Linked DNA regions of Oryzias latipes. The protein of the gene in region 3 interacts with the protein of the main gene of each other region in a biochemical or structural test. Links are inferred from orthologs where the notes say so. Each region holds a gene or a part of one and is shown on either strand. Other genes may lie near its edges. The genes, in order: arih1, skp2, ccne1 and fbxw7.

Region 1 (7,476 bases), on a different chromosome or scaffold from region 3:
TAATGCATCTATTTGTTTACAGGTGGTTGCATCAGAATGGAGCAAAGCAGTGAGACTATGCCCCGCCCATTTCAGATGCTGTGTGCGTCACATTTTAGAGCTTTTTCAAACAGCTGCTCCTAATCCATCACAATTTGAATAAAGAAATGCTCAGAAATGCATTTTTAATCTTAAATTCTTTTAAATGTATCCTCCATCATGAAAAAAATACTAAAGAACATGTTAGAACATCAAAAACACAATTTCCATTGGAGTGGGTCTTTAACTTGTACGTTGCATGAAAAGCATTCAAACCAAATGTAGAAATATTCTAGTATTTGTAATGTTTCTACCAGCATTTCTTGAGTATTCAGATTATGAAAATGAGTCAGCCTCATTTGTGTCATTTGCCCTTTCACAATTCTGGTAGGAAATGTAGAAGAAATGTATTCTTGCTGAGTCAAACTAGGCCTTATCAGATTTATTCATCAGAGTATCAAAATTCTGAGATCATCTGGATGAATCCAATTCTTTTTCCATGGAGTGACGTGTTACCTTTTCCCCAAGATCCCGTGTGTCCCGGTGAATCAAACTCTGGAAGGACTCTTATGCCCCGCATCCTGGCATATGAGATCACTCTCCTCACGTCTGATTGTGTGTAGATGTGTGTTGCTGGATGGAAAGCCCCCTAAATCAGGACAGAGGCTTATGGTAAAGGCGGACGCTGATTTCCAGCACTCATATTTAAACAAATGCTTGGCCAACAATTCTATGTCAGAAAAGAAAGGCACCTCTGAAATGCAAAATAAAATCAATTTTCAAGTTAAAACTATAATCCAAGTACGGAATTAGGAGCACTTAGGCTTTATTTTGTTTGAACTTAGCAGCTTTTCTTATCTGTGTACCGCACCTTCTTAGAAAGTTCAGGAAAGGAGCGGCTCTGATATGGGAAAGATGGGTCATCAACGATGTGCCAATGGAAAACATTGAACTTACTGTAAGACATAGCATCCTAGCAAAAACAAAAAAAGTGCAATATTAAAAACTGATGGGACTTAAAGTTGAAGCTTGCAGTATAAATTATATTTAAATTATTACCAGAGTTTTTAAAATGGCATGCACTGGTAAATAATGGCGTGAAGTGTCCAGTAAAACCCCCCGAAACTGAAACCGGGGGAAGTCTTCGATGAACGTTTCATTCACAAAATACTGAAAAAGAAAAAAAAAGGAGAGGAAAAGCAAAACCAAAATGAAAACAGGTCTTTTTAGAGAGACTGTGCAGTTACTGTTCAAACACAAAAACTTTCTAAACTTGGAAAAAAGACTTACAGAGCCAAGATCATCTTGATACACCAACTGACTAAACGTTTCCAGACCTGTGTTTAAACAAACACACATGTACCTATTTAAATACAGATTTGTAAGTAGTAGATGAGTAACAACGAAAGTTCTTCATTTACTGGACTATTATAAATATGTATTTCCTCTTATGACAGTTCTCTATGCAAAATGTAGAGATCACCTCTTAAAATACCCCAAACTGTTGCTGCATTCAGGGATGCTTGTCCAGCAGAGACACTCAGATTGTCTGGAAAACCAACAGAACAATACATTTTTGAAGCTGTTTTCATAATCTCTTGTTATAAATTATAAACGTTGGTGGTTTTTTTATGTGAAACTCCATACTTACATCTCTCAGATGAGTCGTCATTGGGGTAATTCTCACAGTCATTGTGATCAGTGCTGATATAGAGACTGAATGAGTTATTTGCAGCTACTTCCAGTTGACCATTTTCTGTTGGTTAAACGCTAGTTTAATGATGCAGTTTCTTCAACTTTTACAGAAGTACAAAACACCACATTTAGAAAGTAATTTTTTCTCAATCAAAACATGGGGCTGGAGATGTTTATTGTTAAATGTTTCACAGATAGTCATAGTGACAGACAAGTGAACTGTTGTCTCTACAAAACCCATTGATGCACTTTAAAAAGGCCATGTGACAAGAAGTACATACAAAACAACACTAGTGAGCACTTTGTTCTCTATTTTTGTACCTATATAGTGCCCTACAACATCATCTGCTCTTGATAACAATGAGTTAAACAAAAGACAATAGGTAAAACTATTTAAATGTGACTAAAAGTTAATTTTAACAATAAAATACACAATAACAAAAATAGGCTACATTTAAATACAAATTAAAAAAAAAATCTTATTTTACATTTCAGGAACTCTTCAGTCCACCTACCAGCGGTGTAGTCTGGAAAAATAAGCAAGAAGTATCTCCTGAACGCAGCATCCAGAAGAGAACATCCCTGCTGTGTGGCTGAGTGTTTCCCATAATCAAAGGCAAAAGTTTGAGGATTTAACGGGTATTGTTCCACCGACGAAGTGAGCGCGTGCGGTAACGGCCACACTCCCTTTACTGCGTTCAGGCCAGCGTAGAAAATAATTAGCTGAAGTAAAGCGTAAATTATAGGGGCGCATTGTTTCGTATTTACTGCCCTCATGACTTTCATTCAAGCTAATTCCCCTTCCTCTGCCCCACAAACTCAGTCCGTCACCCCTGACAGGCAAGCGGTCACGTGGTCAGTGTTGGTATTATGAGCTCTGATTATTTGTTTACCAGTATCTGCACAGCTAAACTATGCCAATACCTTTAGGCCCCATCATTGGCAGTTGTTAAACAAAATCTGCATTAAAATTGTTTTAATTTCATGTATTCATACAGCCCTAGCTATTGGAAATTGGTGTTTGGATGAGAGCGGAGAAAGATAGTGTCAACGCAATAAAAGTTTATGTATTGTTTTTTTTACGAGTGCTAAATATATATATTTTAAATATATATTAATAAAAGTTAAAATCGGACGTATGATATGATTTATTTTTCTGTTCTATTTTAAAATATCTGGAAGTAAAAACTAAAGTCATCTTGTTCGCTCCAGCTGACGTAAGGCCGTCGTCAGTGGCTGACGCTTCGTCCCTTTGTTGGCTTAGCAGTGGCGACGTTTTGTTGTTATTTTTCGCTGCCGTTGAAAAACAGGCTCCAGTATTTTGATTCTCGCATTGTTCCGCAATCAACACCTAAGAGTTCAGACCGTTGGGTGTGCTCCTCACAAGCTGCTAAACAACCCAGGAATGGACTCAGACGAGGGTTTTAACTATGATGAATACGACGAAGAAGACGAATGTAGCGAGGTCAGCGGCGAGGAGCCCGACGACACCCTGGATCTCGGTGATGTGGAGTTGGTCGATCCCGTGGTGGCCGGCGGAGAGCGAGACGAAAGCGGAGAGACCGGTGTAGGTGGCCACGGCCCCGGCGAGGACGAGGAGGAGGACTACCGCTTCGAGGTTTTGACTGCCGAGCAAATCCTCCAGCATATGGTGGAGTGTATCAGGGAGGTCAATGAGGTCATCCAGGTAGGTATCTTGGTATGCCTAAGTCAGGAAAGACCGGGGTTTACGATTGTGTGAAGCGTCAACAGGCCACGGATGTTAGCTTTAGCTGCTAACCTCGCTGGAGGAGTTCACTTGCTGGAAGATGACTGTTCACAAAAAAGAACACTTCACTTTCTTTTATTTATGATAGATCATTTCGGTTACATAACATTGAACTAGACGTTTAGACAGTTACAGGTTCAAACAAAAATAAAGATGTTCACAATAGTTTGTTCCAGGAAGTAGTCTAATCCCTAAAGAGAAGTTGGCAGAAACGCCTGCTAAGCTAATGTTAGCTTTTTGGCTAGTTTATCGCTAAAAGCTCAAAGCTAAGCTAACACCTAGCTGCTAAACCACAACGCAATTAGCTGTTAATTGTGCATGTTTAGCATCAGATCCGAGATGTATGTTGTTGGAAGCAATTTTGTTTTCAGTTTAAAACCGACTGCACATAAGTTACGATAAGCTCTATCAACAATAATGTTGGCTTAGTTTAACGAATTAAGGCTTGGTCATCCAAGTGTTTATTTTTTATCAGGCTACTTGAGTTATGTGTTAACCCCCTTTACCACAATTGTTCAATGTCGTATATTCTTTTGACCAGAACAACATTTGAATATAATGACACGACCATGTTGCTTAAACATAGCAGGGATTGCTGTTCAGTCAAGTGGCATTAGGCCTCCATTTCCCCAGTCAGTCGTTTTATTTGTTTTAATCTTGGCTTTCAATACAAAAGCATGGAAACACTAAGTTTGGCAAATCATAAAGTTGGTTTGGTTGGACACAAATGACAGGTTTACAGCCGTGGATCCATTATGATGGCGTTGTATTCCAGTAACACCCATGGAAGTAAGCTAAATAAAGCAGTGAACCAAAACCACTGAGTCTTCTATTGACAGACAACAGCAGTGTTGCATTGATCATACAGGTTTAGGCTCAAATTTTTTTTTACATTCAACCTGAAGTTGATCTTTTTCAATTAAACTGATAGCAAACGTACAGCATTTTTTTCTTCAAATAAACCTGTTAAAGAAACAAGCATAAAAAGTGTTACAGTATTTGGTGCATGTTTCTCTCGCATAGCTTGGTTTAATATATATATATATTTTGTTTCTCCATATGCTAAAACAGATTTCTGTCTTTGACTATTTCTATCAGAGATATATTAAAGGAGATATTGCTGTTCATTAGAGAACAGAAAAATAGGTCCAACCAAACGCACTCAGCTGAGATGTTTAGTCAAATTATGAAGTTGCTCCATCTTCAGCAAGTATTTTATTTAAAAATAAAATCATTTACATTTAGTATTTCCTGTTTGGGTGCTACTCGTATTAAAGACAGAAAACGTGATTTGAGCACTTAATCATATTCTCAAACAGAATTTGCGTGTGTGTTGTTTCTGACCTGGCTTTCCATTTTTCAAACAGACGAGTTTGCTCTGTTTGGATCCTCTCACTGTTATATTTTTGGCCTTGCTTCAGTTTTTCATAACGTTATATTTTGGTCGAAATTTTTAAAATAAGTTGGAGTCTGCCTGCACTTTTTCTGTTGAAATTCAATCATTTCTTTAATGCCAATTTTGCCCCAATTTCCATCCAGGTCAACCTTCTCTAAAAGAGGTTTAACAGTGGCTCAACTTCTAAAATAGATTGTTTCAATTTTCATTGGATGTAGCAGATGATTCTATATGATATACACCACATTGTTTTGGGTAGTGCCTCTTAAAGTAACTAGAATGTTAACCTGTAACAAAAGGTTGCTTTACAGCAGCTGGGCGCCGGCACAGTTCTACCTGTTGGGACCTAAGAGGAGTTTTTCTACCTTTGTATTGTCGGCAAAAGCAGCCCCCTACTCGACTGTCATGCCTACCCCACGGCCTCTCCCTCTTGCCATGAACTTGTGTGCTTCACACCCACGACTAATGTGTTGAATCAATGAGGTTGACATCATTTAAGACAGTCCAACTTTCAGTACGCAAAACTTAAAATTCTCCACAATCAACATCTATTTATTTACATGTTAGCATATCTGCTTTTGTTAAACTTATAACATCCACCCACTAACTACAGATTTATTTTTTGTGTTTAAGACAAGATGCTCTCATTTACGTAATACATTCTAATTGGCTTAAAACGCTTTGAGTTTGATTGTCTTCTTACACTAAATAAATCCAGAACAGTTTTGCCCTTTAAACAGCAACCTTAATCTCTGTTGCTGTCTTTGCTGATGCACTTTTTGATGCATGCAACATTCTGATATTTAAGTGAATTCAGTTTCTTGTAGTTTTGGGGCTTTGCCTTTTTCTATTGGAAAACAGGACTTGTTGACCCTTCCGTGAGTGGATTTGCTTTCTTAGTTTTTCATTAGTTTTGATGTATTTGTTGTTCTAGAAAATTATATTTTGCTTTGAGAAATCATTTTGACCAATTTTGAGGGAAAAAAATATTTTATAAAAAGTTCTCGCCATGCACCAATCAGACATTTTAGGTTAAGCAGCTAAAAGTTGGATTTTTTTTTTTTTTGCATTGGCAGTTTTTACCAACGATGCAGACAAATTAGTAAAGACAGTGGGAGAGGAAGAGACTGGGTCTGGTTATTTTTAAAGGGCCCATATCATGCCTTTCAGAGTAAACTATATCCATATATATGATGATATATTACCTTTGGCACACTAAAGAACATTATTTAAATGAAATGAGTTCTTTTCGCAGCTCATTTTTCTACCCAGATAACTCGATCTCTGAGGCTCCGGCTTTGGCTCCATGTGGGCGCCGCCCATTTCATGACGGCAACCTGGAGTCGGCCTCGGCAGCGTGTCTGCATCTCGCCCACGAAAACAAACATCCGAACTTCTGCACAGATGGATGTGCAGATAAAAGGACAGCGTTTTAGCCAGAAACGGCTAGCTCCATGGAGACAGTGGATATGTGTGTTAGCCTGGGGGCGGTGCAAACCTTTACTTCCTGAATTTTGGAGTAGAGTATTTGGTTCTTATTGTGAAGTCCTCTACTTCAGGAAAAAAAATTTAAAAAACTTTTTATTTTGTTTTACAAATGGGTTTACACCAACTGTTGTTGTGAAATATTTGAATAAATCTACTCTTTAAAAATCTTTCTTTTATTTTTTTCTGCTGATATGAATTGGAAAAAGCTTTTGTGCTGTTGAGGCGGAGATATAACATCCTCTCACCAAAATAATTCTATTGACACAGCGCCTTTTTTGCCTTGTAGCAGGAGTCAAAAGCTTCTTGGTCTGCTGAGACACGAGTCTAAAAGACTCCTGTATCATTGCAGATTTTTTGAATTAGGGGACAGAAGTCTGTTTAACGAGAAAATTTACATAGGTATGTTTTAATGAAGTAGGAACAGCCAATTTTTAATTTCACTAAACAATATTCTCAGTTTTCAAGTATTTGAACAGTTTCGATGTTAAAGCAGTATGTATATTTATACAGCAACACAAATATGAAATTGAAATTAGGAACGAAATACAGTAAATGTTGAATAAGCCTATTTATTGTGAAATCAAATTTAATAAATAACTTGTAATTTCTTGCTTTTTTAGAACCCTGCTACAATAACTCGCATCCTTCTCAGTCACTTTAACTGGGATAAAGAGAAACTTATGGAAAGGTAAGAAGTTCATAAATATTTACAGTTCAAGGTTAAAACAGGGCCGTGGAGAGCTAAAGGTGACCTGAAAACAAGATGAAGTGTTTCATTGTTCTAAAAACTGTTCTCAAACACATTGTATACATCAGTGTTTTTCAACCAGTGTGCCGTGGGAGATGGTCAGGTGTCCCGTAGGAAATTGCCCTCATTCACTGATCTAAACACATTTTCCATCTACAGGATATCAGCTCTTATTTCATTCAAACAGGCCCTTATAAAAACACTTAGTAGATAGGAATATGAAAGATCGTAAAAGATTTTTTCTTTGTGTTTATTTGATTCTATTAAAGACATTTTGATAAGAACGACGGTTCCGCGATTTAGCCGTTGCTTCAGACGTTTTTTGAAAAGTCCCGCCCCTTTAACTGTCTCTGCCAATCATTC
Region 2 (7,515 bases), on a different chromosome or scaffold from region 3:
GTGTGTGCATGTGTGTGTGTTTATGTTGGGATGTATATATTGAGGGGGGAGGGGTGTGTGTACTAAGGGGGGTGCAGTTAAAATTGGCGGGTAGGGCACTAAGGGGACATCTCCTGATTACTCACAGTGAAGTCCCCTCACCCTCCCCAACAAAGGGGCCCTAAATGTCTAAGGTGCGGTTAAAATTGGCGGGTAGGGTGCTAGGAGGACATCCGCTGCTTGCTGGCAGTGATGTCCAAGCACCCCCCCTACCAAAGGCCCTACATGTCTAAGTTGCAAATAAAACCGAAAGAGGGGGGGCCCACTCCATACGGCAACCATAGAAGGGGGGCCACTGCCTAGTAAACCCCCCCCAAGGCTCATCGCAGGCTAAGCCCCCCACCCCCTCACCCTATTATGAGGTTATATGAGGAAGGGGGTAATTTGGGGACAGCTGATAGACTGTCCCCCGGTGGTCAAACAGCTGTCCCCCGCCCCCCCCCCCGCCCCCCAGCAAGGGGGCCAGGCCCACCCAGCCCAGGGGCCCCACCCCCGGAGGCGCCGACACCCCAGGCCCAGCACCACCCCCCCCCACACAGAGAGAGAGGAGCCAGAAAGCGCCGGCCCCCCCCGGAGCAAGCCCAGGCCCCCACCCCCAAACGCCGGCCCTAGAAGAGCTCTGGTCAGGCCTCGACGGGACCGAGGCAGCCAACCGGCCGGAACTTTTTTAACATAAATATAAATAAAAACAGACAGAGACATTAATCCAGAATAACTCAAGTTAAAGCTTCAATAACGTATCATATTTTGCTCTCCAAAAAAATATATTCTGTCAAAATTATACAAATATGAACATGCTGTAGAACAAAAGAAACAAAGCCTGGAAATATTAATAATAAGAAATTACAAATCAAAAAATTCCGTTTTCTTTGCTCTTTTATCATTTTTTAGAGCTGGACTCCTGCATCATTTTAGCAATAATTTCTTGGTGTGTGACGTCCTGTGTGTGTCTTTATGAAACATATCAGAGGGATTGGATAAAAAAAAACTTATTGTGAATATTATTTTTAGGTCTTATAAAACATTAAAAAAACTAAATCATAGAACTCATCAGTGGGATTACTCCAAAAATATTTGGCTTTTCCCTAATTTTGTGCAACACCAACAGTAGAAATCCTCAATAAACCTCAATCCATTAGTTTATTTATGATCTCATAAAGTGCACCTGTTCTCCTGCTGTCTTTATGTCAAATACTGACACCAACTAAATGACAGAAAAGACACGTAATAAAAATATCTACAATAGTTGGTAAATAATGACATTATTAACATGAGCTGCTGAGTGATCCATCAGCATGTGATGATCCAGGTGTTAAGGTGGGCTGCGCTCCTCGCAGCCTGCGCCCACCACCCCTCCCCTTGCTTCTGACACACGTCTCTATGACAGGAGCGCGCAGCTGCGGCCTAGAGTTGATTGTTAGAGTGAAAAAGACACCAAATCACCTATGTTAGTGTGATTCACCCAGCCACCGGTGAGTTGCACCCCCCTCTCAAATTTTTTGACTTGTTAGGTTCCAAAACCTACCGCAAAGAGGTGTGGGCGCAAGTGTCTTGCAGCGGAGGGCGGCGGTCACGTGCACGTTGGGTCTGCTGTGTCGGAGCAGGGAATTGTGGGAAATAATCCCCATTGCCTGCTCTGATCGAAATTGGGTTGAGCACGGGTTTTTCTTCTGCGTAATTCCTTTTCATGTGGATGTTTTACGTTGTTTCACTCTTAGTTATTAACCATAAGTGTGGAGAGGGGAGAGGATTAACAAATAGGTGCAACGGTCTCTGTCAGACGTGTCAAAATAAAAGCGTAAAGTGTTGACTGCTGCAGGCATGTCAAAAGAAAAGCTGAAAGACTCCTCTTTGACTTAGGTATTCCCTTTTGTGTAACATTGCCGGCACAGAAAATGCTGCTCCTATGAAGTGCCTGGGCCACCGCCCACCTCGCCCATATCAAAAACCGCCACTGCGCACACGAGTGCACAACAGTACGAGCACAATTGAATAATCTAATACGAGCGCAAGGAGTACTAATCTACATTCAAAGTTAGGCCCAAAACATTCCTTTTTGGACAGGCTCATTGCCAGACAAGCTAGTAATCAGAGAATATTAAACTTACATGTTTAAATTAAACTTAACAATAACAATTAGTTTTTAGTTGGCTGCTAGAAGTTTGAAGCTGGGTAAACTATGGTGCGTTGTGGTTCTTTCCTTTATTCTTGTCATCTCCTCTCCATCTCTCCTCTATTCTTGATCCTTATTAATCATTTAGTTCTCCATGCCTCTGTTTGGTGCAGTGCGATTCATGTACTCTCCCTTTTGCTTCCAGATACCAGTTGGCTCATCCCTGCTCCTGTACCTGACCAAGTACCTCGTCTGGGGCTTGCCTCTACTACTGCTCCTACACTTGGCTGTGCATCCTGTCTCCGGCTCGTCTCGTGCCCCCATCCGCCCCCCAACTCAATCTGGATGAAACTCATCTGCTGGACTTTAAATATGTAGTTGTTGGGTTTGGTAAGCTCATCCTTCTCTAAGAGGTCTGGTACATCGCCTGTCTGTCCTGGGGGAGGATCCCTCGTTCATGTTGGCACCCCAGAGGTTTCTTCTTTTTCAAATCAGTTTTTCCTTACTGCGCAGGAGTGTCTAAGGGCAGAGATGCCTAGCTTAGTTTAGTCTGTTTAGTTAGCTCAGTTTAGTATTTTCCTATTAAATCCCATGTACTCATGAACCTTTTGATTTTATGTTTACCTTATTATTACCTGTACGAAGCCCATTGAGATGACTGTTGTTGTGATTTTGGGCTATACAAATAAAATTGAATTGAATTAAATTAATCCGTGCGCACGGTTTATCAGATTTTAATTCTTTTTTAATCCCTGGCACCTGGAGGGCTCCGTATCCCTACGACCCCGTGAATATTTACAGTTTGTTAACAGGGATAATTTCGTATTCAAGACAAGCAAGAGTTGCATTCAAAACAAAGACTAATCCTGTTCAAAACAGACACGTCAAATTATATGTGGTATTCATATTTTTTTATTTGAAGTTGTGCACAAAGTATTAGTTTTGTATTTATACACGTGTTTTGTATTGACAGTTATCTTACCCAATACTCGCCCATCTTGTTTTCTACTTCACAAATAAAACATTTTCTGAACAGCATATTTTTCTCTGTTCATTAATCACAAAGATGTGAATAAAGAAATACTCAGAAGTACAATTTTTAGCCTAATTTAAAATAAAAATATCCTCCATCAGAATTTATTTTTTAATTTTTTATCGAAATGAGGTCATTAAAAGGTTTTCTTATGTGGCTAGAGAGTAGAAAAAACGAATTAAACTTGAATGCCACATCGTCCGCAAAAAACGTAGGACGTGACGTGACAGACGTCTGGAACGTCATGACGTCAGTTGAAAGAGGGCGCCTCGCTGCTGGCGGCGAGTTTAAAGAGTCCCGACTGGAAAGAGCGGCATCCATCCCCGCAGTTTAAGGCGCCAGAGAAGATGTCCAGCGACAGGTACGGACTTCACAGCTGCTACGTTTAGCTAAGAGACTGCTTCGCTATCAAACACATTTACAATCCTTTCTGTTATTTAGACTTTTGAAATGTTTTCGCGCGTGCATCTCCCATCACCGTTGACATACTAGCCTAGGTCGCTCAGATCGCTCGTGTTAATCATCTTTCGGCATTTCTCGGATGCTGATCGCGGTTGTTTTTGTGGAGAAATCTGCTAACATCATGTTGTTGTTTAGTGAGTCGCTGATCCAAAGAGATCTGCCTGAAAACTCAAGCTGATGACCGATACCGCGCTTTTCTCCACGCAGGCCTCCACTCTTTTCATGATTAACTTTATTCATTGGGGTCATCTGTGGCTGAAATTCCATTTTCCATTTCAAACCCCCAGCAGTGCTGCATCTGTGCATTTTGGAAGATAAATGACGGCGCGTTTGTTTGAAAATTTGCGCGGTCCCGTCGCTTGTTGTTGTGTCCACGTCAAATATGGCGGGCGCGCACAGATCCCCGTCTTGAAGGAGCTGGTGAATCTGTTCCTGCAGGTTTTCTGGTTCAGATCCACGCAGCACTGACTCATCCGAAGGCTCGAACTCTATCGTTTCCAACTGTCTCTTCTCCATCCAGCATGCCCTTGCGGGATCTGCCACGCGCGGGCCTCCAAAGCCACGCGCTGTCTCAGTCCGCCAGGCTGCACAACAAGCGCAAGTCCAGAGGCCACCTGAGCCAAGGCCTGGACACCGAGTGCACCCCAACAGAGCTCATCCAGCAGTGGTCCCCCCCACAGAAGCACCAGAGAACCGCCTGCAAGGGCAAGGAGAACGACCAGCACACGTTTGTCCTCGCCAGGAGACCCAGGAGAAAGAAAGACTTCAGAGGAGGTGATCAGGCTGCTGCTCAGAGGGCTGCAGGGCTGGGATGTCAGCTGTCTCACTCTGTTCTCCTTCAATCCTACAGGCATTTCATGGGATCATCTGCCAGACGAGCTGCTGCTCAGGATCTACTTCTACCTTCCTCTTCAGGACCTCCTTCGAGTCTCTTTAGTCTGTAAACGCTGGCATCGTTTGGCGTGAGTCTCTGTCACTGAATGTCACACAAATATGCAGTCCAGTTTCATTTTCTATTTTAGCCCCAGTTTCAACATGCAGATTTATTTGGTTTTTCAGAATTTTCACTCTTTTTTTTAAATTACCCACTCTGATGAAAATGCCGTTTTTGACATGTTCTCGAGCCATTTTTCAGATGACGGAGGACATGAATGAAGAAAATCAAGCTTAAAAATGCATTTCTGAGTATTTCTTTAGTCAAACTGTTGTAAATAAGGAGCAGACAAAAAAATGCAGTTGGAAAAAGATCGTATTTGTGACGCACTGCAGGCGAGCCAGAAGCTCCCTGTTCCGCTCCATTCTTGATGCATTCGAATGGATCCATGTACGTCTTTCTGTTCTTTGTCCGAGCGAGCCGGCATCTGCCTCAAAACTGTATGGCTCGATAGCTTTAGTGTTGCTCGGCGCCAACAGTCCCGCCCACAATTCAGAGGTGAATTTCGAATGAACTCCTGCTGTCCTTTTGTTTTGCCTAAAAGCAGCATAATCCTGATCAAAGACCCCTCAGGATGCTTAGAAAATAGATCGGAGTGGGTTTTTAACTTAAAATAGGTTTTGAGATTCTGATGAACATGAAAGACTTCAGTACTACAGATGTTCAGTCTGCCACACAGTTTTCATTAGCTTCAACCCCAGAAGCGCCTCTTTGTGTGTGATGATTGTTTGCCGGTGTGAGAGCACTCTGCTTGTGTTTTCATCAGGTTTGACGAGTCTCTGTGGCAGAGCGTGGATCTGCAGGGTCTGACCAACATGGGTCCAGCTCTGCAGCAGGTGCTGAGGACCGGAGTCCGCCGCCTGCGCTGCCCGCGCGCCTTCGTCGAGGAGCAGCAGTTTGCAGGAACAGAGTGAGCTTTGCAGATGGTTGGACCTAGGCCTGCACAATAAATGGCAAATTTATTGCTTGCTATTATCATCGCAACATGGATCACTGATACTGCAAATTGCACGTTTTCCTCATATCATGCAGCCCCAGTTGGACCACAACCATCTGGTCCAGTTTTTTTTTTTTTTTTTGCAGACCTGTTTTCCAAGCACTATCCTCACTTTTTAGATGCTCAAGCTGAGCGATTAGACACGAAGACACACCAGTGAGCCACAGACGCCTTCCTTCACTGCAGGACCTTTTCTCTTTTTGTCCAGACCTCTGCAGCTGCTGGACATGGACCTGTCCAGTTCCATCATCCCCATTTCAGCTCTTGAGAGCATCACCTGCCGCTGTCTCCGCCTGGAGCGATTGAGCCTGGAGGGTCTGCAGCTCTCAGACAACATCATCAGGTGAACAAATGGTTGTAGTTTGGTTTATATCCACCATGCTTCAGAGTCGAGCTTCTCTTCAAGGCCTCCGGGTGCTACTTTGCCGTTCACGGTTGGTTTGGTCATCAGACTCATGTCAAACTCTTTGTTGCAGGAGTCTTGGGAACAACGTCGGCCTGCAGCAGCTGAACCTGAGCGGCTGCTCCGGCTTCTCTGCTTCTGTTCTGGCTGACATGCTCAAGTCCTGCTGCAGGTCAGTGAACGCCTCTAAAAAAACGCACAAAACTTAAAAATAAAGTAAACTAATTCATGTATGTGATGAGTTGATTTTGCATGCTATATTAGTGTTGTCATTGTGTCCTCGTGGGTTTTGTTTTGCAGGATAGAGCAGCTAAACATTTCATGGTGCGGCTTCAACAAGGACCACGTGAAAAGTGTTGTTAGTAATGTCAGCCCCAGAGTCGTCAGCCTGAACATCAGCGGGTACAGAGAGAGCCTCACGTTAGACGGTAAGCCGTGGAAACCTGATTCCATAGGAAGGGGACTCCTCCATCAGTTCTACATCAGAAGTGCCTTCGAGGAGAAATTCGACTGACGGTTGATCACACTGGTTTTTACAACAGCAAAGCTGTTTGAGGCTTTGTTTGCTTAACCAACCAATCCAGAGGATGGAAACAGAAATCAGACAACACAAGCTGTTATAGCTTAGTCACAACTGCCCTCACGGGTCTATATGGAGCATGTGGGGGGGCCCGCACATAACGTCAAGGTTGTAGATCACCCAGTGAGCCCATAGCCCATCTTCAAATCCTCCAGTCTGCACATAAAGCCTGTTAGTGCTGTTCAAATGATTAATGCTGTTATAGTTTAGTGTTTTCCTTTTTAATCGGATCTGATTTCCACAAAGTCTGTAATCAGGACCCCTGTTAGTAAAGTTCTTTCTTTATTTTTACATTTAAACTCAAGGTGATAATGCATACAGGGGGAAATGGAAGTGTGACCAAACTCTATGCATTACATTTTTTTAGTTTTATTTTCAATTTTCTTTTCCTGCAATGCCAAGTGTGATAGTTTCTGGGAATAATCATGAAATCTTTTTGCTGTCACTGATGGGAATGGCGTGCGTGTTTTACAGATGTAAAGATCCTGGTTGACAGATGTCCTGAAGTTCAACACCTGGATTTGAGGTACCGTCCCGCTCCAGCCCAGAGAAACAGAAACACCAGATGCGTTCATTCAGAACTGCTCTTCATTAAAGTCCCACTCCGATCATCTATTGTAAAAGGGTTCCCAGTTGTCTTTTAAGTACGCTTATGCTGTTTTTAGCAACAATCAAAAGCCTGTGTGGTTCTCTAGGACACAGAGCAGTTATATAGAAATCCACCTCTGAGTTGTGGATGGATTTGTTGGTGCTTAATTATCTTTATATATCTCCATCATGAGAAAAATCCCACAAAAACATTTTAAAAACACAGTTTTTAATTGGAGTGGGTCTTTAAGTAAAGGGTTCTCCTCAGATGAACTGGATTCCTAAGTTCTGTCTCTATCAGAATTTCACTAAGTCTTTGTGTTTCAGTGACAGCACCCTGCTGATGGCTGACAGCTTCCTGGTTCT
Region 3 (7,643 bases):
TATTTGGTTAAGTATTTGGACCTTCTGACGCTCAAGTAGCCACAGGTTTACGGGATTTAGCCAATCACAATCGAGTAATCGTACAGAAAATGGTGCCAGGGGCCAAATATGATGGATGTCATGACAAGAGCCTTCGGGCCATGTTGGGCCCATGGGCCAGACTTTGGACATGCCGGGTGTAAACTGTATTGCGTTGGCCACGGCCTACAGTAACCACTTAATCAAGGTCTCAGCCCCTCGGATGCTACACTCCAATGAAATGATCTGATGAGGATTCATTCAGGTGTTTTTCTTTAACTTTAATACTGTCTTGTGGGGTCCAGATGACCCCCCCTTCCATTGACGTGTTCTCCCTACCATGACAAAGGTGGAAAGATTTCATGTAATCCATGGACACCAGTGAAGATCCCAAATCATTGAAGAAAAAAGGTTCAGAGCACTGTCTAGTGGGTCTAGATGACCCAGTCCCAATGTCACACTGCCTTCAAGGCTTCGTTTTGAATGAAAGCACAGGTTAGAGTGTCTTTGACTGTATCTGAGAACTGGAGCGAGTGAGTGTGACATCACCGGACAGGTCGCCGTCTTCCGGCACAGCCCTCACCTGTGCTTCTTTTTGATGTCGGTGAAGATCTGCACGTGCTCAGCTCCAATCTGCCGGCGGTACCGCAGCAGGTCGCCGGCGCAGGCGTTCAGGAGGCCTTCATCCGCCACATGGGAGAAGACGAAGCCCTCTGCCCGGACGAAGTCCAAACCTGGAACCACGCAGATGCAGAAGCGTCGCCGTCTACACTTCACGCCTTCAAACCCGCCGCCTTCTGCCAGGAACCAACAAACCTGACGCCAGGGCCACGGCCAGGGCCTGCCGGTTAGCAGAGGACAGGATCTGCACCCCGAGCGGCAGAGACGGACAGGCTCTCCTGACGGCAACACAGACCGCCGTCATGCAGGCGCACACCTCAGGACCCACGTGGAACGTGTAAGGAACATCGTGCATGTTCTCCACGATCAGACCGTCCTGAAACAGCAGCTGGCAGTCATCCCGACCGAGAAGACCCACGAAGGAACACCAGCAAAGACCGCACTCACCACCCCTGCTTCACGGTAGACATCTGCCTCGCGGCACGCCTCCTCCACAATCTGGGACATCGTCAGGCGTCCCAGAGGGGAACCTGAGTGAGAGGAGACGTTCCCTCACACCGGATCAAGTCAAACAACCCGATAGTAGGAATGGAGATCCAGTTTCTGGGATGAAACTAATTTTTCTTTTGATTTACTTTGAATTTTTAGAAATTCATTTAAAAAAACAGAAGCATCCTGGAAAAGAAGAGTTAAAACTGAAAGTTACTGCTGAGAAATAGATCTATATTTCTGTCTAGTGTGGAATGAAAACGCCTTAGAAAAGTGGAGACAGTTTGGTGGGAAACTCAAACTCCTGTCTTCATTGCTGAAACGGGAGACTTTACCTGGCAACGCTTTGACGTGAATCATTCCGATAACCACTGACTTCAAGCGTCCGAAAAGCTCCAGGAACTTCATGTTTGGGTTTGGCTGAAACTCCAACTGCAGGAACTAAAGTTCAGCTTCCACCGAGGGACCGGATCACGTGACGGAGCAAAGGTCAGGGGCAGAGGTCAGCGGCACGCCGCGTCCACCACGTCTGTTAGGATCCTTCAGCCAACGGGAGACGCAAAAAAAAGAAAGAAAAACAACAAAACGTCTCTGCAGAAAGAAAAAAGTTACTAAAGCATGAAGTCACTTTAACTTTGTCACATTTGACAAACACAAGCATTCATAGACACAAACACACTCTCTCACGCACACACACAGATACATCCAGACAGATATTTTTATATCTCAAACTCATGGAATCAGGATTTAGGAAACTATTTATTAAATTATGGAAAAAAAACATCTTCTTTTTACAGTCTTTTCAGACTCATTTTCCAAATGAGTGGATTAAAATATGAATCCATTTCTTTGCAGCATTAAAAGTAAAAAATGGGAAAAAACCTTTATTTTTAACCGCCTTAAGTTTTCAGTAGATTACATGTCGCTTGTTTCCCGAAGATCTTCTGCTTCCTGGAACAAAATCTTTAAGTGTTACAATGATCAAAACAGTAACTTAATCAATATTTGTTTACCCAAGTAAAGGTAATCAGTAAGGGGCAGTAAAGTTACTCTTAAAAGCTCAATTTAACCAAAAATGTGTAAGGTAAATGTAACGTGTTACTTCCTCTCTCGGCGTGTCTCTGTGACGCAGAGTAAAGGAGGGAAAAAAGAGACACTTATGTGGCTTAATAGGCGGGAAAATCTAAAAAATCTGCAAAAATCATCAAAAATATTCATATTTTCGCTGGTTTCCAGTCTTCTTGGCGGTTTTTCCCGGGAGACCGCGGCTTTGTTTACATCTGACAGGCTGGCCACGCGGAGCCGGCACACTTCCGGCCCGGTGGCCACGCCCCCGCAGCTGTCAGCGCCGCGGCCACGCCCCTCCCACAGCTGCAAAAGCGGGATTTTTCTTTCCCGGCGGCGGAGCAGCAGCTGAAGGCGCCAGCAGCCGTCAGAGCCACTCAGAGTCCCGCGCGCGTCCGTCAGGAGGTCCATGGAGGAGAAGGTCGCCAGTCTCCGAGCTTTGGCGCCAGTTTGAAGCGGCTCCGCCCGGAGGGACGCTCGGGTTTTAGGCGCCAGCTCCAGGGAAACCCGCCCGGCCTGCACAGGCTCTGTGAGCGGGCAGCTCCGCCTCTGACTCCCGGGGACTCGGAGCGAACTTCAAGGAGTCTCTTGGGGTAACTTTTCGCTTTTCATCGGGGTGTTACGCGCTGAAAGGGAACTGTGTATTCGGTGTCTCGGTAAGTCCCGCTCTGCGTGGCCGCTGGCAGGTAAAGTTCCCGCGGAGCGGCTGGAGTGATTGTGAGGGCTCCGGGGGGCTCGCGGTCCTCTGGGGGGAGGGCACGCGCCGCTTCTTGTTCTCGCGGGCTCGTGCGCCCTCAGAGCCCGCTTCTTCCCCGCCACTTCTGCGCCGGGCTTTGTCAGGAGGAGGCGCCGCTCGGGTGGGGGTTGGGTGTTTTCTGGAAGCCCGGAGCTAACGCTGGCATCCCCGCAGGTTTGCTCGGAGTGTGGGCCAGCGCGTCCGAGGACCATGCGAGGACAGCGGTGAGTTGCTGTGTTTTTTACCCCGCTTCCAGCGCTTAATATGTCGGGGGGAATGAGCCGCTCTGACGGCGCCGTCCGTCGGCGCAGCCCGGTTAGCCGTCCGGCTAACTAACCCCCGTGGCCTCCTCCTCCTCGGGGGCTAAACTCTGGGAGCCCGCGCGGAGGTTCTGGACGCTTCTGGACCACAAAGACACGTCTGTTTTTTCTCCACAGGGAGCAGAAGGAGCCCACGAGTGTCGCCCCCACGGAGAGGTCAGAGAGGAGCAGAAAGAGGAAGGCAGATGTGGCCATTGTACGTGAGCGGACCAGCTGGTCTGAACTGGTCCATCAGACTGGTTCTGCTCTCTTTATGGTCCGGCAGAACCTTCAGCTATGGAAGCCCAAACATGACAAAACTCACAAACCATATTTAAGGCCACAAAAATGGATCCATTTAGCCAGAAATTCTTTCCAAGACGTGATTTAAAATTATTTAAACTTATATTGATTTTTATTTCCAGGAGGAGGTTGAGGTTCTACAAACACCCCCACAAAACGGTTAAACAGATTTGCGTTTTAGTTTTCTTCGCATCCAAACTTGACACCATTTTTTTCCCATAGTTTCCATTGACTATAAAAACGGCTTTGGATGCTAAATTTGTCTCATGTAAACACGATAAAACTTTCATTCATCATTAAAAATAACGGTTTCTGCGCTTGGAGGAGGGGAGTTTTTGAGACGTGTCTAAATTAACATATTTGTCAAAACTGCTTTTTGTATTAAATGAGCCACGTGACCAACGACCGGATGGCGAGGTGCTTCTTGGTAGGAGCTGGCGGACTTGTTGCACGGCGGGCGCCACACAGCTCGTCAAAAGTTGAGCATCTCGTTGGATCCAACAATTCCACATTTCCCAAAATCTGTTTCCTCCGTAGCCCCTCCCACATGTGAGGAGCTCGCCACTCCACGGCCTGAAAAAGAGGCCGCCGTCTCCCTTTGTTCACGCCCGTTGGCGTGTTTTTGAATGACGTGTCGCGTCAGTCGCTTTGTGTACAATTGTGATTTAATGGAAACGGTGTAATTGCAAAAATGTTTATTCTGCAAACTTCTAGAATTTACATAAAGTTTGGCGCATGATTCAAAATAAAAGAACTGATAAAAAGGTTTGTTTGGTTTTTAAAAAAAAAGGACTTTATTAATTTATCTGAACGTTTGTCTCATTTTAAGATCGTGGAGACGAAACGAATAAACATGAGAACAAAAGCTACAAAAATAAAACTAGAAAGCTGTAAAAATCGTAAACACTCCAAATATGAGACGTGTTGGTCGTGAAATTTACTAAGACAACCTGATTTGTGCCAAAAAAAAGAAATTAAATAAATATGTTGATTCCTATTTAATCATTTCATATTTTTTTAAATATCTTTCTGTAATTGATAATTGATGAATGGAAAACAGAAGATAATCTGGAATCAAAGTTGTTTGAGCTTTTATTTTGATAGTTTCATCTTCCACTGTAGACATGAAGTGTGTCTTTCATCTGTGATGAAGATTTTGTGTTTTTGTGTCTCAAAGCTGCTCAGAAGTCGCCGTCAGTCGTTGTGTTTGCGTCTCAGTTCCTACAGGATCCTGACGAAGACGAGGCAGAGATGACGAAGAAGAGGCAGCATCTGGACTGTGAGGTGAGGCTCGTTCGACACCAAATGTGGCTCCAGGACGCCGTTTGACGCCGTTTCTGTACGGATGTTTCAGATCCAAGTCTGATCTGCCGGAAAGCTGAAAATCTCTGGTTGACGACCAGGAAACGGCGTCCCGTTTGCCTCTGAACTGCTGTTCTGAGCCTCTCTTCTGTGTCAAGGTGGACTGGAGCCCCGACTCGGACCGGACCAGCCCCCATCGGTGGACGCCGGAGCGCCGCCAACAGATGAGTGCCGGTTTCCTGCACCTCAACTTCCACAACATATTCGTGACCCCGGTCCACTGCGCCCCCCTGCCGGCGCTGTGGTGAGTGTAAACCCCGCCTCCCCGGGCTCGGCGCCACGGAGAGCCGCCGCTAACGGTCGCTCTGGCTTCTCCAGCTGGGCCAGCAAGGACGTGGTGTGGAGCAACATGCTGGCCAAGGACAAGAGCTACTGCAGGGACGTCCGCATGCTGGACAAGCACCCCCACCTGCAGCCCAGGATGAGGGCCATCCTGCTGGACTGGCTCATGGAGGTGGGTGCATCCGGAGGCGGTCGGACGCTCCCGCCGTTACCCCCTTCTCTGAAAAACTGAACGGCCGTGGGAGTGACGGTAAACCTGCTCTGCCGCATTTCTGCTGCAGGTTTTGCTGTGCGGCGTCTGAACGTTGTTGTTTTAAGGTCAGGATTTTCAGGAAAAACCATGCAGACCTTCAAAGTAAAAGCCTGTCTAGTGTTTGAACCAACAAACGGGTGACGGCGGCGTTTCATGGCTGCCGTTAACTGAACGTGCGCTAAGATGAACTGACGACGGTATTCAGGAGCTGAGTGAGCGTAAAGCTCTGACGGCGCGACCGCTGGGTTTGGGAGCCGTGTTCAGGGGGCGTGTATGTCGCTCGGGGGCGGTAACCTTTCTGGTTGATCTGATTGGCTGAAATTTGCAGGTCAAATCCCAGCGGGAGGAACCATCTAGAAATGAATGGGACCAAAATCTCTGATGGGGCTCAAAAGAATATTTCACCAATGAAACCCAAAAAAAACGTTGGTGATATCCAAAGGTTTTGAAATTATTATGGGATGGCTACACGACCTACAGCGTGTGGCAAGATGAGAAATGTGGTGTTTTTCCACATAGAAATGTTATTTTTCAATTGATCTTTGCAATATTTCCCCCACATACCGCCAGGTGAAGTCTACAACCACAACCCAAGTCATTTTGACCTTTTGACCTTGGGACAATCTTGAATTTTCCTAAAATAAAACAATCCCCTTTAGTACCTTTTTTCAAATAAATGTCAGTTCCTGGTAAGGTTTTCAGTCTGTTGCCTCCTAACTGCTCAAGCGTCATATGATTGTAGATTTTGAACGCCGTTGGCGTGGCAAGCTTGCAAAAGTGGCGTTCCCTTTTTAAATTTTTTTTTTACTGGAATGTGGTCAAATTTTAATACGCGAGTCGTTGGCTTAAGCAGAGCGAAAAGACATGACATACAAAATTAACCTATTGGGTTTGTGGGCGTGGTTAACAAAAATCCTCCGTTGCTAAGAAATTCCCCAACTTTACCTTTTATTATTCCACTAAAAGTCACACAAACCTGTCCGACATCTCCATAGCAACCAAAGCAAATGGTTGCTATGGAGATGAAACCAAGAGAAAAGCATAAGAATGTATTTTTACTATGAATTGTATCACATGAAGGGGGAGAGCGAGCGGCGAGTAGCAGCTGCTCTGACAGTGAGGGCGGGTCAAAAGGGGGCGGGTCCTGCCCCCATACAACGCCGCGCCCAGCTTCCATTTTTTTATATTTCTTCTGTCGGGTTAATCCTTGTTTGTGTTTGACATTTGTCTGCTTTGAAAACAGAGTGTGTTTAAATTTAGCTAAATGTTTTTACCCTCAAATATCAAGAACATCAGGAAACGCCCATTATAACCACTGCAAGCATTTTAGGTTTAACCAATCACTGTGTAGACGAACAGGCTCCGCCCATTGCAGATTCTAAAAATGGATAATTGATGTAGGAATCCCTAAACCCGTTTGTTTTATGTTCACACATTTCCAGGACGTTTTTGTCCCTTTTAGCTTTCCATACTTGTGTTTTTGTGCTTTTTTTCTTCACATAAATTGCAGTAGGAGGAGCTGCTTTGTCTTTTTTGTTTATATTTTCTGGCCTCTAACGTAAAGCGTTACCGTTTAACCCGGTTTGGTGTCGTCCCTCCGGCTGTGGTGCGTTCACGGTCCACCGCACCGTCCTGAACTCTGAGTTTTCCGTCTGCAGGTAAGCGAGGTCTACAAGCTGCACAGAGAGACGTATCACCTCGCTCAGGATTACTTCGACCGCTTCATGGCCACGCAGAGGAACGTGCTGAAGTCCACGCTGCAGCTCATCGGCATCACCTGCCTCTTCATCGCCGCCAAAGTGGAGGTTTGTTTGAACGCGGAGCCGCCGCAGGTTCAAAGCGCCCGTCGTCTGAACGCTCCTTGCTCCGCCCCTACAGGAGATGTATCCTCCAAAGGTGCACAACTTTGCTTACATCACCAACAAAGCCTGCACAGAAGACGAGATCCTCAGCATGGAGATCATCGTCATGAAGGTAACTGCGGCGCTTGTTCAGGTGGCTGCCGGACCCGCGGTTTGACGTCTGCAGGAAAATCCAAAAGTTACTTCTATCGGCTTTTTCTTTTGTACATCAAATGACTTTCTTAAAATTGATTTCATAAAAAATGAGTTGACTGAAAGAGAGACTAGTTCTTTTTTTAGATGTATTTGAACATCAGAGAAATGCTGCAGCACCACCCTGTGGCAGGAGGTCTGCATCACCGCCTGCAACAAAA
Region 4 (7,357 bases), on a different chromosome or scaffold from region 3:
TTCTTTAGAGCCACTATAGGTCAAACAACATGGCTGGTTTTGCCAAAGTTTTGGAAAAATTCTTTCCTTTCATTTGAGCTAAAACTCTTTGACCACATTGTGCTCCTAACAGCTCTCGTCATGTCTAATATGATAACTTTTTATTTTTTTTTATTTACAGGCCATTGTTTTCTGTTGTATCTATCTCAGAAATCTCTTGGCGTCAGGCGGATTTTTTTCTAACAAGAAAAAAATGTTAGACTTCTAAAAAAAAGTCAGTTATAAAACTTGAAACTAAAAGTGTGATGCATCATTTGCTTCTGTAATTGATCAGTAGTTTCAGCTTTGTCTAAATTGATAAATTCACAGTCTAATATTTTGTCTGTGAGATCTGAACATCTGATGTTCATTTGTGGTCAGATGATTTGACTCACAGGAAAGGACATGGAGGTGAAACACTCCAGACAATACAAATAAGAAATAATGCTTTGGCAATACTTTCCCCTTTTTTTATTAGCTTCCCCTTTAGATTTCCAAACAGCAACTCTGCACAGACCAATAAATCTGTGTTCTTTTGTGTTGATATGCCAAATAGACTGGTTTTTAAACAGATATGTCAGACTTTTGGCAGCACTCTCCACTATTGTGACTAAGTGTGAGAAAACTATGTAAAAAAACAGTTTTTTACATCCACATAAATTCAATTTAGTTTTAAACTTTATGAAGACAATCAAACATTTTACAGGCCTACAAACTGTTGCTTTTACACATTTATGAGCACCACAGCTTGTCAATATGATTTTCTTTTGAGAAAGTTCAGAATTCCCGAGCTGAACAATGCAAGCTTTTGAATCAAATTTCTTCCTGACAAGGTGCAACCGTAACAATCAAAGATAATGATGATTTCTAGTTAAAATAAGTAAATCTGACTAACTAATTTAATGTATTTAAACATATATCAAAATTGAGATAAAATGTGTGAAGCAAATGTGTAAGATTGAGATGGTTTGGACACTTTGAGAGGAAGGACAAATGATTATGTTGGTGAAAGGATGCTTAGATGGGAGCAACCAGGAAAGAGGCCGAGAAGAAGACCAAAGAGGAGGTTCATCGATGCGGTGAAGAGAGACAGGAGACTGGATGATGTGAGTAAGGAGCATACTGAGGAAATGGTTTAATGGATGCAGAATTAGCCTTAAAGGGAGCAGCAGAAATACAAAAAAAGAGTAGAGTAGTAGAATATTTTGGAGTCTATTTGATTTGATCCTGTTTGTGGATAAGTTAATAAAAAAAACGTTTACGGAGGTTTTTCAAAGTTAGTGTCTGATCAGAGCAATCAAACAAATGAATGTTTTGAGCTAGGGTGGAAAACTAAATCAGGCAAAAAAAATTACACAAAGCAAAAGTTAGCAAACTGTTTGATGAGAATAAGTTAAGTTAGCTGAGAAACAATCAGAACAGTTGGACAAAATCACACGAACTGTACTTGTAATGTTTGCATGTACTTAAAAGTACAGAAACTTTTTTTCTGTAGTTTTTTTTTTTCCTGAAGTATAATATGAAAAGATATCCTTTGTTTCTAGAGTGTTTTTTATTTAGCTAAATAACTGACTCAATGCCAATCTCACAGTATCACAGAACTTCAAGCTTCCCAGGATCACATTCAGAGCTTCGTGATATCTCAGGGTTTCAGACTCTCCCTGGAGGATCCAGAAACGGGGCATAATAATGACCTTGAGCCAAAACTAACCATCGCTGACAATGCAAGTTTAACTTGAGCTGCACACTAATCCACAATGGAAACTAGAGTTAATGAACTACAATGATTTGATTGCAGCTTGTACAATCTTGATAAACCTTGTAACTTTGTATTTAGTTGTCCTATACTGTTCTTTATTTTCAAGTATAAAAATATATCAAACATTTGTGTTTGCAGGTGTAGAATTACTTTGTAAAATGATATAAAAAATCCCAGTACAAAAAGAAAACATTGTTGTTACTGCTACTACTTATAATAATAATAATAATAATAATAATAATGACAATAATGATAATAATAATAAAAGCATTATTACTACCACTTTGTTTAAGGCTTCTTTGAATAAAATTTGTCATAACAGTTTTAGTATACAAAATAAAAGATTAAGATGGAAAACGTTCTGGTCCAAAAAAGAAAAACAAAAGTTCAGCAGGCACAACAGGTGTAAAGGTTATGAATAGTTAAATATATGCTCCAAACGTGTTGTTACTGTACCTAGATTTCAGAAATACTGCATTTATGTGTATTTTTACTTAAATAATCCAATTTAAAGTAATTCTATGTATATTTTTACCTGTTGGTGATTGATATTTAAAAACATAAACATCATAAATTGTTGAACAGCATGAAAATTAAAAAAAAATTCCTATAGTAAAACAGGAATACTTTTCATTCATGACCATACTGAAAACGTCATTTGAAAGCGCACAGAATAAAAAAAAAAAAAAGTGACGTCATTTATTTGCGACAGTGTGTCCAGTCGGTATAGAGAGCAGGGAGTTCAGCAGCATCCCTGGCGCTTGTATAGGAGCTTTAGAACGGATTATTGTTAAAAGCTAACCAACAGCTTGGTCTCTCCGGGTGTGCTTTTCCTCATATAATCATCGGACGTCATCCTTTTTTGCTCAGTGGAAAAAACGAGCCAATGGTTCGATGGAGACACTTAGTTTGAAGCAGCTGCTAACGTTAGCGGTGTTTTACTAGCCAGCTAACAACACGAACTGGGGATGTGGAGGCTAGTTAGCTGCAAATGCTAACTTGTTAGCTTCGTTTAGTTAGGTGCGAACTAACTGCTGCTGGGAGCTGAGAGACGACTGAGGAGCTTCTACCTCTGAGGTTTACTTCAGAAAACTTTAAAGGATATATCCGCTTGGATTCCTGGCCACTGGGGGTTGACAAAAGAGTCCTGTCCCGCCTATGTCACCAGTTTTCAGGTAAATACAGCTCAAAAGCAGGATAACAAGTGTGTTGTGCTCTAATAGTTGGACCACTGGGCAGGGGCCTCGCATTGACTGGGTACACAGAGCTAGCAATTTACTTGCGTGCAGTCTGTTAGCATCGCTAATGCTAGCCAACTTAACGCTACTGCTAAGTGTAGCTTGTTTTGGACGAAACTGAAAATGACAAACCAGTTAAGCAGGCGATCAAGAAGTTTAAGTGACCTACTAGAGAATATGGTTCAGTTTGTGATGTTTGAGTTTATTTTTCTTGCTAAATTATGAGCTTCCCCTAAACGGCACTTTACCCTGCAAACAAAAAGTGCCAAACGCACCGTGTTACCATGGCGAACCGCGTGTACTCGACAGCTTTCCACCTTTTTTGTCATTAAAACAAACTTTTTTATTCACACATTCTATCGTAGAGATGTTAGATTAATTCATACAAGTCTGGATAATTAGGAAATAACCTATTTTATCATGGTTTCAACCAAAATTGAAAACTCATCTCAGAACACATGCATTAGTTAGTGATGCCTGTGTTAAACCTTAATATTTAGAATTATTAATGGATTTTAACTTGTGTAGTCATTAATAAGCAGGATCAAAACACAAAATTTACGACGAACAAGCCTGCATAGTGCAGGGAAATACTAATTACGAAGTCACTGTTCATACTAATTGAGTAAAAACTCACAAACATAACAAACAGATGAAACACGTTTGCACAGTAATAACTTGTTGTTGTTAGTTTCTTACTAACTAACTAGACTAAGTTCTTAAGATTTGAAATGCAAGGACGTTTAAACATCCATTTTTTGTTTTAAAGTTCAGTACAGATTATCTGAAGGAGAACAACTTGTAGGAAAGAATTGTAGATAAACTTGAAACCAACAGATTATTGATTTAAGTTCTTAAAGACCTAACTGGATAATAAGCATCTTCTACATGATTAATTGATAAATTAAGTTAGATGTAGTTCAAAGGAGTCTTGACGGATTAAATTATAACATAGCATTGTCAAATAAATCCCTGTCATGCTTTTTGCATTCAAAATTCATCTGCAAAGAAAAATGTAGCGATCAATTCTGTTCTTTGCTATCCAATGGCACTTTTTGTGCTCTATTAAGAATACTAAGGTAGGCTTTTTGTGAAAATTTTACTTGCAGGGTTCATTGATGATTTGTCTTGGTGTGTAAAGCCTAGACAGAGTTCTCATAAAATACAGAATAACATTTGTCTACATTTAAGCAACACAATGTTGTCTGGTAAATCAAAGTATGTTTGTTTTTGATAAAACTTCTCATTAAAGGCAGTTATTTTATCAGTTTTTGAACACTGCAGCTAAATTTGACGCGTCAATTATACTCCTGAAATGCTAATGTAAATACAAGATGCTTTCTCACGATGGTCATGCTATGTTGGCAAAGAAAAAAAAACATGCTTCCCAAAGGAGCGCCGTTCCTCTTCAGCAAGTCACAGGTCAAGTGGGTGTTATAGCTCTAATTTGTTGTGTACTTACACTCTGGAAGGTGTATTCACTGAAAGTGTCGTTACTGTCCCACTTAGTGCTGCATTTGACCTATTCTCATGCATTCACACAATGCATGAAGGTGATAAGAAAAAGTACGTCCTTCTGTGATGCTGTAAGTCACAGAGCAAAGCGATTTAATGCTCAAGTTGTGTGAAAGAGGCTCATAAAACAACACAAAACGTTCCTTTACTTTTCTTGTGTCCTTACTTATTTGTTTCTTAAAGATGAATTTTTGTCCAAGGATGTTTTGTGTGAATTGCTTCAGATAAAAAAGTGAATGCCCAAAACACAAAGTTCAGCAGTTAATTGTTTTGTTATTTTATTATTGTTAGTATTTTTGTTACTTTTGATCTACTTTAATAAAATTTGGAGTAAAAGTTGAAGGCCTTCTAAAACATTCCGCCTTTTTCATATTAAACCAACTTTCTAGTTATAAATTTTAGATGTTGGACAGTACAAAACAATTGTTTTTCTGCAGTAATTTTATTTGACATGCATATTAATATATAGGTCATGGTCATGACCATGACTGGTATCATTATTTGTTCAATTTGATTATTATTTGGAGCAATTTTTTTATAGTAAACGAAGCACTGATTAAGAAATACTGTTTTTCTTTTGTTGGAACAACTAATAAATTTTTTTACTTTTTAAAGAGCAATAGGTTAGCACATGACGTCCGTCTTTTTGTGACATTCTGTATTTATTTTTGTGTCAACTTTTGAAATGTTGACAGCTGGTTTATATTTAGTAGAACCAATGATCTCAATATTGATTTATTTCTTTGAAACTATTTACCTGATGAACAGTTAAATTTCTCTTAACGTATTTGCTTGTTCCTCTTCTTAACATGTTTGAGGCACTGGTTATGATTTGAAAAAGGGACAAAACACATGAATCAATAACAGAGCTGGGCGATACCTCGTAATATCTATTGTATAACACTATTGTTTTCACATGAAAACTAGGTGAAAACAATATTGCCTCCTACACCTAATGTGTTGTCAGTTTGTGTATTCTTTCTGATGATCCCACAGCTTATGTTGTGAACACAAACTGTCCCTTCCCTTATTCATGCAACACCTATGAGGCTGCAGGTAAACTTACAGGATTTCCTCGTTGTCAACCAAATTCTTGAGTAACACAATTGAAAAACATTATTTCTTTAATTAAGACTTTGTACAAAAAAGGCAGCTTCAGGCAGAAAATGTTCTGATATCAAATCAATATTTAATATGAACAATCTAAACATTTTATGCTGCTCCTACAGCCCAGAGTGCATGAATGAAAACAATAGGATTCTTTAAGGCAATAGGATGAGGAAGAGAAAGTTTCCTTTGAAATTGGGAAAAGCTTTAGCCACATTTAAATCCCAATTTTGAACCCAATCTGTCTGATTAAGTTTCGTGAGGTACTAACTTATAAATCTTTGTGTTTGTCTGGAGACCCAAAACTAGTTTTCCAGATCCGCTGCCACAGAAAAATAAAATATAAAACCATTGATTGTATAAGAGAACTGGATTGAGTGTACCTTTCCTCCTTGTGTTCCAAACAGAAAAAAACGCTGGCTCTAAAAAGCCAAATCCCATAACTGTCTATTGAGAAATAAACAGCTATTACTTTTTCATTATATTTGTCAGAATACCCACTCTTGCTCTGCTACCTTTTTCTGAAGATGGTCTTGCTAATCCCAAAATCCCCCCCCCCCCCCCCCCCCCCCCCATTAACATTAGTTATTTGTTTCAAGTTCTTCAAGTTATAAATTGGCCAATCAGATGCCTAAATAATGCCATGTGCTGCCCGCTGGCCCCCACCTCGAACGTTCGAAAAGGTTGACAGATTTTCCTGAGCCAGCTTTCACTGGAAAGGGGCGTGGACTTCCAATAAGTTTGCTAATGATTGGCGACAGCAGTTCTCATAGAAACTTTGATTCAAACTCTGACTCGGACCAATCGTTGTGTACTAACGTTGCCTGACCCTCCAAATGACTTCCTTTGTATCGCACAAAAATCGGTCCAGTTCTCATATACAGTCAATGGAATGAAACAGAAAAATGGGTGGGGCTTCAAAAACTAGTTTCTTGAAAGTCTCAACAAGTCAATATTGATATACATAGCTGTTTATCATCCAAATATTGTATTAGGAAAAAAAATATATTTTTGTGTCAACTAACTATGCAGTTCCCCGTGCTTTAAATCATTTTATTTTACCTCAGTAGCTATGTCTTACTCTCACACCACATTAGAAACAAGCACTCTTCTTATGTAGCGGGCCTTTGCAGAGTAATGCTTTTTGGTCAGTCATTTGATTACCGTTTCTGTGCCGCTTTGAATGCACAATGAGACTACCGGAGATTTCTTATAAGAATGTGGGATTCCTCCGCTGTTGTGAAAGACACTCTGCTTCACATCTGTGAGGCACAACAACCTCTTAATAATTCAGAGCTGTGCCATGTTGCTCTTCGCTGCTTAATCAACAGGAAAAAAAAATCTCCTAGTCATATTGCTTTGTTGTGGTCCAAACTGTGACAGTACAAGAAGAAGAGGAGCTTTCTTAGTAGAAAAAAGAGACAGCCGGTTTAACTGTGCCACAGTTCCAAATAAAATCAACAAATGTATGTGAAAATACTATGCTGTTTATGAAGAGCATTTTGTTTTTTCATTGCCAAAGTGCTGTTTGTCAAAGGCTGCCTGTTGAGGTGTTACTCAGCAGCTATAAAAAAAGGTTTTGCCAATGGAGACTGTTTAACTTCTGAAAAAGTCACTGCTGCTTAATAACTCGTGTAACATTCAGACCTGTCATTAGAAGAGTTAAAAATGGCTGTCGTGTCCTTGAGTTATGACTGATGACCTGTATTGGAGGCAATGA

Evidence for each region.
Region 1: of the proteins of ccne1 (region 3) and arih1, one has a biochemical effect on the other in vitro, tested with the Homo sapiens proteins (3 studies listed by BioGRID). The link is inferred for Oryzias latipes from reciprocal best matches to the Homo sapiens genes CCNE1 and ARIH1.
Region 2: the proteins of ccne1 (region 3) and skp2 form a complex in vitro, tested with the Homo sapiens proteins (2 studies listed by BioGRID, with this or other methods). The link is inferred for Oryzias latipes from reciprocal best matches to the Homo sapiens genes CCNE1 and SKP2.
Region 4: of the proteins of ccne1 (region 3) and fbxw7, one has a biochemical effect on the other in vitro, tested with the Homo sapiens proteins (18 studies listed by BioGRID and IntAct, with this or other methods). The link is inferred for Oryzias latipes from reciprocal best matches to the Homo sapiens genes CCNE1 and FBXW7.

The regions. Positions count from the first base shown.
Region 1 is NC_019864.2:16,685,346-16,692,821, reverse strand, and holds the start of arih1 (E3 ubiquitin-protein ligase ARIH1), read left to right. Parts: upstream 1-2,928; 5' UTR 2,929-3,118; coding exon 3,119-3,400; intron 3,401-6,985; coding exon 6,986-7,053; intron 7,054-7,476. Other genes in the region: beta-hexosaminidase subunit alpha, read right to left, coding at 535-667, 890-991, 1,078-1,188, 1,309-1,355, 1,502-1,567, 1,670-1,774, 2,229-2,499. UniProt on the Homo sapiens protein: E3 ubiquitin-protein ligase, which catalyzes ubiquitination of target proteins together with ubiquitin-conjugating enzyme E2 UBE2L3.
Region 2 is NC_019870.2:24,274,214-24,281,728, reverse strand, and holds the start of skp2 (S-phase kinase-associated protein 2), read left to right. Parts: upstream 1-3,426; 5' UTR 3,427-3,532; coding exon 3,533-3,546; intron 3,547-4,167; coding exon 4,168-4,421; intron 4,422-4,497; coding exon 4,498-4,609; intron 4,610-5,347; coding exon 5,348-5,491; intron 5,492-5,786; coding exon 5,787-5,921; intron 5,922-6,054; coding exon 6,055-6,153; intron 6,154-6,281; coding exon 6,282-6,409; intron 6,410-7,035; coding exon 7,036-7,087; intron 7,088-7,476; coding exon 7,477-7,515. UniProt on the Homo sapiens protein: Substrate recognition component of a SCF (SKP1-CUL1-F-box protein) E3 ubiquitin-protein ligase complex which mediates the ubiquitination and subsequent proteasomal degradation of target proteins involved in cell cycle progression, signal transduction and transcription.
Region 3 is NC_019861.2:36,306,259-36,313,901, reverse strand, and holds the start of ccne1 (G1/S-specific cyclin-E1), read left to right. Parts: upstream 1-2,678; 5' UTR 2,679-2,786; intron 2,787-3,103; 5' UTR 3,104-3,139; coding exon 3,140-3,153; intron 3,154-3,366; coding exon 3,367-3,445; intron 3,446-4,749; coding exon 4,750-4,815; intron 4,816-4,991; coding exon 4,992-5,137; intron 5,138-5,211; coding exon 5,212-5,347; intron 5,348-7,086; coding exon 7,087-7,233; intron 7,234-7,306; coding exon 7,307-7,402; intron 7,403-7,643. Other genes in the region: uncharacterized protein F13E9.13, mitochondrial, read right to left, coding at 602-752, 835-1,015, 1,087-1,169, 1,464-1,536. UniProt on the Homo sapiens protein: Essential for the control of the cell cycle at the G1/S (start) transition.
Region 4 is NC_019859.2:19,475,996-19,483,352, reverse strand, and holds the start of fbxw7 (F-box/WD repeat-containing protein 7), read left to right. Parts: upstream 1-2,484; 5' UTR 2,485-2,952; intron 2,953-7,357. UniProt on the Homo sapiens protein: Substrate recognition component of a SCF (SKP1-CUL1-F-box protein) E3 ubiquitin-protein ligase complex which mediates the ubiquitination and subsequent proteasomal degradation of target proteins.